Danio rerio: one gene and its partner. The protein of the gene in region 2 purifies or fractionates together with the protein of the main gene of each other region. This does not show direct contact. Links are inferred from orthologs where the notes say so. Each region holds a gene or a part of one and is shown on either strand. Other genes may lie near its edges. The genes, in order: fastkd5 and mapk4.

Region 1 (3,653 bases), on a different chromosome or scaffold from region 2:
GCGTGGATCAGGGCTCACACTAGGGTTTGTGTTTGGTTTCGGAAGGGCTTCTTGATTGGATTCAGATCCACTGATGTTTAACAAGGTATTCCTGGAGCTGATACTGTAGGAGTTACCTTGTTGGCAGAAAGTAGGAATTGAGGGGAGACTACCGGGAATTTTTTTGCCAGTTTTTAAGTAGCTGAAATGAGAGGAACGTGACGTTCGTGTCTGGTAATACGATGAATGTTTGCACAACAGCAAGCTTTCGCGTTCTTCTCTCTTTTGCTCTCCATTGTCCACATGTGATGACAAACGCTGGGTTTTAAGAAAGGAAAGGCGCTGTACGTGAGCACAAAGACGTCGCTTTGCCACGTTATGAAGTAGCACATTCGCAGACATCAGCAGCAGATACTGGAAGGGATCATAAAAAAAGTGACATGATGATTGACAGTATGCAAATGTTGTAATATTACCTACAGTTGAAGACAAAAAAAATTAATGCTTTACGAATATTTTCCAAGTGATGTTTCACAGATGATTTTTAACAGAAAAAATTGTATAACTACATTCTAATAGCTCATTTGTTTTGTCCACCGTGATTCTTATTAATTATTAACGATGACAGTAATCTTAGAGCTTGATCAAAAAACAAATTTGATTAATTGATGTAAAAATAAAGTTGTAAACGTAAATCACTGGAGTTTGTATTACCGAAAAAACAACACTATTTTAAAGTTTTTACATTAAATGTAGTTTCACAAACTAATTTCGAGAGGAGCACGTGATATGATTGACTGAAGCTGGCCACTCATCTACACTCATTGACTAGCCAATTGGATTGATCCAAACTCACTATAAGTAACCTAGCTAAGATCTACTTATCTTCGTTTTCCGAAGAAACCCCCCATCCACCCCTTCTCCTCCTTTCCTCTTTTGCCGAGGGGAGCTCTCGAGAACACCTGACCTCGTACTCCCCTCACATGCTTTATGGACCTGGCGGGAGCCCTGGGCTCAACTATCTCCGAGCTCAGGGTTCTCTTCCGGGACAGCATGACAAACCTGCTAACTTGCTAACAAGTTGTCAAACAGTATCTAAGTGTGAATTCTTGAAATTTCATTAATTTGCAGTGACGCTACTAGCTAAACTACATTCATCAGTAGCGTGGCACCAGCATCGCTACTTGCTAAATCAAATAGCTTTCCAGGAGCAAAGGATAGCTTTCCAGAATCTATTATTTTAAGCAAGTAGCGTCCACACAAGCTACATTTACCAATCAGGAATCATTAAGCGACGCCACTGCCGTTCAGAGCTGTAAAGCCAGTGTCTGGCCGTTAAAGGTAAATCCATATGATAGCAAGAATCGCAAATTCTTCATGTTTTATGGTGGTCGAAAACAAACTTGGTGAGCTACTGCCACCTCTCACTCATCATCAGGCAGACAGGAAAAACTTGCTAGATGGAAAGATGACTGTAGAGGAATTAATTCTGAATCAGGACCATACATCGAAGTCTTGAAGTTAATTCTGATGCTGTACTCTTGTTAGAGTTGAATTGGTTTTAAATCTACTCAATGTTTGTTCTGCAAATGTGCCCAAGTGCATTTACATTAAAATACTGTAAATACTTCAATATTTAAAAGTGGTTTTGAACAGTACTATAGGGAAGTAATTGAACTAATTTGCTTTATAGTTGCAATACAACATCTACAGTATTGTATATAGTACAACTATAGTAATGTTGTATCTTAAATGTGCAACACCTGGTTTCTTGAATTTTTTGTTTTTGATGTCTACAAAAATGTGTTTGTGTTTGGAACAGCATAAGAATTACTGTTAATAACTGAACTGAACAGTTATGCCACACAGGGCAGGAGTGGGACTGCTTTTTAGCTCTAGAGTTTCAAGCCTTAGACCGGCCCACCTCAGTCGACGACTGACTATATTAAAATAACGTTATTTCCAATTCAGTTTCTAATGACACTAACACGTCTTTTTCAAGGACACAGCTGCATGAGAACTTCAAATGTTTTTCATAAATATGAGAACATTAATTCTTTATAGATATCCAGTCCTTTGTAACTGTTAGAGCCATATTTATTATGCAAATTGTAAAATATTATGTATAGTTATCGTTATTTGTTTATTGCATTTATACTTTCTACAATCAAAATATTATTTAAATTATTATTGCATGCTTTAATTATGCCTTTGCTTATTTATGACTGATCATGTCATATCCTTGATGTAAAGAGAGAAAGAGACGGAGTGATATCGTTTTTGACCGTCGTTCTATATTGTATCGTTATATAAAGAAAAAGATTGTTCCTGCTTTGAAGAACAAATAAATACAAGAAAAGAATATAACGACTTGGATGAGTTCGTCGCGTCAGACTGGTTACTTAAAAGGATCATATTTCCAGCTTGGATAATGGAGTGCCATTATAGTAACGGTCGTCACACACGCACGCACGCACGCACGCACGCACAAAAAAAAATGTACCCCTACATAAGTAACACACTCAGTATTATATGTCTTAACACTAAAAATGAAAAAAATAAAATAAAATAAATAAATTATCCTGGTGAGGTGCGAACTCGGATCGGCGACGTTGTAACGCAAGGTGCTAACCACTAGACCCAGTTGGCGCTGTTAAGGTGATGAGTTCGGGATAAAAAATAAGTATTGCACTGTTATCTGCTGCTATTGATGTCTAATCTTTTTCTCCCCTTTTTAGATTTCTGATCTAGTTATGGCAGATTTATTAATGTAGTGAATCATCAGATTTTCATTGAGCAGGTGTATTATTCATTAATATTAATTAATATTCACTAAGTGTGTTTGGGGTGGAATGACATGACATGTGGAGTTCCACAAGAGTCTATACTTGGACCTATTTTATTTTCTTTATATATATTTTACCTTTAGGATCTATTTTTTGTAAATATGTTGTGGCTTTTCATTTTTATGCTGACGACACTCAGATTTATGTCACTTTAAAAAGTAGGGATTAAAAGGGGTTTGACTCCCTTATGAGATGTCTAGTCGAGGTCAAGAGCTGGCTTTCGTCAAAGTTTTTAAATTTCAATGGAGAAAAAACTGAGCTGGTCTGGTTTGGCGATCCTAACCCTCTGCATTTATCAGGTTTTGGTGAGCTTTCCACTTTCCACTTGTTAGAAACTCAGGATTTTAATTCGACAGTGATCTGAAATTTAACAAACAAGTAAATACAGTTGTTAAATCCAGTTTTTTCCATTTACGACTGGTGTCAAAAGTAAAGTCGTTTCTCTCTTTTAATGACCTTGAGAAGGTGATCCATGCTTTTATTTTGGGAAGACTTGACTATTGCAATTCCCTGTATGTGGGTATTAGTCAAAACGCCCTAAACAGAGTGCAATTAGTATAAAATGTGGCTGCAGGGACTCGTAAGTTCGAGCACATATCCCCAGTTCTTTCCTCTCTGGGCTGGCTGCCTGTTTGGTCACGGATTGATTTTAAACTATCAATCTTTGTTTTTAAATCCTTAAACAATCTGGCACCATCTTACTTATCAGACTTGCTACATGTATACAATCCTGGTAGGTCACTGAGCTCTTCTGATGAATTTATTCTATCTATACCAAGGTCCCGGTGTAAGCGAAGTGGGGATCGGGCTTTTGCTGTTGTCGTCCCA
Region 2 (3,838 bases):
AATAATTTGATTAATATTATTTCTCAATTTCAGTCTTTGGCGGTGTTGTTTCCTGTGAGCAGTTTGAAAGGTCTCCATGAATCAGCGTCATCGAGAAGACAAAGGCTCTTTGTTTGAGCAGGACATGTAAATATCATTGTCGCTTGTGTCACCGTCAGCCTTCAGATCCGCCCTGCTAAAATCTCACAAATAATTCATCACCTGAGCCCGAGGGGAGAGTGGGAGGTGAGAAAGCAGGGGATGAAAGAAGGAGACTGTAGGAAGAGGGTTACGGAGAGTCAGAGAGCTACTGTACATCAGCTGTTTCTTTATCACACTTCACACACAAGCCGAGTCACATGCTGCATTCATAACACCCTACTCTAAGTAAGATTTATGGATAAAACTTTGCAATAAGGTTTCTATTAGTTAATGTTAGGTAATGCATTACTAAAAAAACATTTATTACAGTATTGCGTTAAATTCATGTATATTTTTATAGCGCTTTTGCAATGTAGATTCTGTCAAAGCAGCTTTACATAAAAGTTCTAGTAAATTGAAACAGTGTCAGTCCAGTTTTCAGAGTTGAATCTCAGTTTAGTTCAGTGCGGTTTAATTTTCATTTCTGAAAGTCCAAACATCTGATCTAAGAGCAAACCCATCAATGTGCAGCTCCCAAAACCAAGCAAGCCAGTGGCGAGGAACAAAACTTCACTATTTGACAAAAGGGAAGGAAAAATTCCTAGAGAGAAACCAGGCTCAGTTGGGCACGACCATTTCTCCTCTGACTTATTCAACTTAGTTATTGTTAGTTAATACAGTGCATTAACTAATGTTAACATACATTACTTCACATTTTAATAATACATTTTGAACAATGATTAATAAATGCTGTGCAGGTTTTGTTTATTCTTAGAGCATGTTAATAGAGTAACTAATGATACCTTATTGTAAAGGGCGACCAATTTATGTCAAACTACACCTTCTTCTTCTTCTTCTTTGGCCTTAGTCCCGTATGGTTGCGGGGTCGGCTTTTTGGAACAAGCCATTTTAGACCTGTCCATATGATAACGTCTTGTTTTTACACATTCCGGCCGGCCTGTCGTCTGGGCCTGTCACCCTCATACACTCATACACTATGGACAATTTAGCCTACCCAATTCACCTGCAGCATGTCTTTGGACTGTGGGGTAAACCCACACGAACGCACAGAAAACATGCAAAATCCTCACACTGAGCAGAGGTTCGAACCAGCGACCTTCTTGCTGTGAGGCGACAGCACTACCTACTGCGCCACTGCTTGGCCTTATGTCAAACTACACCATTTGTTTGAAATTAATTAATTAATTCATTTTTCCTTTGACTTAGTCACTCATCAAGGGTTACCACAGCAGAATGATCCGCCAACTATTATGGCATATGTTTCATGCATCAGATGCCCTTCCAGCCACAATCCAGTTTTGGGAAACCCCCCCCACTCTCTCCCTCTCACACACACACACACACACACACACACACACACACACACACACACACACACACACACACACACACACACACACACACACATGTGTGTACTTTTAGTCAAAAAATTATTACTTTTTCAAATAAACCGCTTTCTTTTGAAGCTTCTGTTAATCAAAGGATGTTATAAAATGCATCTCTGCCACCATAGAAAAATAAGTCCAATGAAGACCAAATCAGATTTATTTGTTTTTAGAATCTCATTTTATAGTTGTGTTCGAGTAAAATGTCATTTTCGTTTTATTTTGTAAACTACTGATGACAGTTTTTCAAAAATTTAAATAACAAAAACTGATAATTTAGAGCATTTTTGTGCATCAAATTTTGTGTGTTAGTCTTTAGACAACACAATACAATTGTTTTTTACTTCAGAAGCGTCCTTATGTAAGAATTCACAATGTTTCATTTCATTTATTTCAGCAAAATACTGAGTGCAGGATTGACAGAAGACATACATTCATACATTTTTCTTCAGCTTAGTCCCTTTATTCATCAGGGGTTGCCACAGCGAAATGAACCGCCAACTTATCCAGCATTATGTTTTACACAGCAGATCTCCTTCCAGCTGCAACCCATTTCTGGGAAAAACTCATTCACTCACATACAACACAGCCAATTTAGGTTATTCAATTCACCTATACCACAGAATTGCCAACTGACCCAGTTGGGACTCGAACCAGCGACCTTCCTTCTGTGAAGCGACAGTGCTAACCACTGAGCTGCCATGTTGCCCACAGACGACATGCACTAAAATGCAAATCAGGCATGATAAGTAAAAGAATCAAAATCCTAAAAAATAGTTTTATTCATAACATTTTAGCTTCTTACTTTGCCACCATCCTTCATACCACCAAAGATTTGACCTTTTTTCATCAAGAAGTTTTTAATTCTTTAAAGTGTACCCGAATATAGTAAACACTTATTCATTCATATATTTTAATACAGGGCAGAATAAGTGGCATATATTGTTTCATTCTTACAGGTCAGGATGACGATGGAACATTATTTCACAAATAGTTTGACATTTAATGTTCTCAAAAGTGTTTTTCCAAGTGTACGCTACTTTCTTTTTGGCATCTCTACTTTGACCAGAAGGCCTATACCGAGTACATTCATTTGCTATTCAGAGTAACCTGCTGAACAAATATCTTTTTTTTCAGCCAGACAACCTTCGAAAATATATCAATCGTTTTTACTGTCGTGTGTAAATATATATTAACCACATTTATTGTTTCCCGCACAGGGTTACCTGTCAGAGGGGATGGTCACTAAATGGTACCGTTCGCCCAGACTGCTGCTGTCTCCAAATAACTACACAAAAGCGATCGACATGTGGGCCGCAGGATGTATTCTGGCCGAGATGCTCACTGGACGAATGCTGTTCGCAGGTGAGGACAAAACACTTTCTGCTGCTGTCCTGTTAACCTTGTGGTTCAACAGAAACGTCAATCTTCATTATCTGGAGTCTCAGAGCGGCCTCTAGTGGCTGAATGTTGAAATAGATATTTAGACCTGATGTGTCAATTCATCAGTTTCACAGTTCTGCACTGCATCGGTAACATTGTAAATAAATGAAGCATTTTGTGTAAAAGATGTTGCAAATGTCTTTTTTTTTTGTTATTTCAGTTACAATATAGGAAAAATGCATGACTAGGGTTCCAATAATTTGAGTAAATACAAATAGCAATAAAAAACGCTGCTGTTTTAAATATGCTTATAGTTTGTGTTTATATGATATTTTTAATGATGTATACATTAAACGTATATATAAAATATTTACAGGTCTACATTATATTATCAACACATTTCATTTTGGCTTTAAAATTGTTTTTAAATTGGAATGATTGCTGTAAAACATTACTTTAAAAAAGAGAAATGTCTTAATTATTAAAAAAATAAATTAAATAAATAAAAAAAATTAAAAACACTACAAAACAATGTGATGCTAAGTTTACTTCTTTCCCCCCATACTTTAATATCATATTTCAAGTTGTTTGTGTACAGCTGTAATTCTTTCTTTCTTCTTATGTTTTTCCCCCCAAATTGATGCTTTGCCAATATTGAATGTATATAAATCATAAATCATTTGAACGTAACAATATTTATTTATATATATATATATATATATATATATATATATATATATATATATATATATATATATATATATATATATATATATATTATAATTTTATACAAAAATAGTATTATTCTCATAAAATATCTATTTAAAAAATAAATAAATAAATAAATAAAATATATATATATATATATATATATATATATATATATATATATATATATATATATATATATATATATATATATATGTATG

The links.
Region 1: the proteins of mapk4 (region 2) and fastkd5 purify together in Homo sapiens (affinity purification with mass spectrometry; 3 studies listed by BioGRID and IntAct, with this or other methods). This does not show direct contact. The link is inferred for Danio rerio from reciprocal best matches to the Homo sapiens genes MAPK4 and FASTKD5.

The regions. Positions count from the first base shown.
Region 1 is NC_133180.1:1,991,070-1,994,722, reverse strand, and holds part of fastkd5 (FAST kinase domain-containing protein 5, mitochondrial), read right to left. Parts: intron 394-3,653; coding exon 1-393. UniProt on the Homo sapiens protein: Plays an important role in the processing of non-canonical mitochondrial mRNA precursors.
Region 2 is NC_133183.1:31,836,782-31,840,619, forward strand, and holds part of mapk4 (mitogen-activated protein kinase 4), read left to right. Parts: intron 1-2,746; coding exon 2,747-2,891; intron 2,892-3,838. UniProt on the Homo sapiens protein: Atypical MAPK protein. Phosphorylates microtubule-associated protein 2 (MAP2) and MAPKAPK5.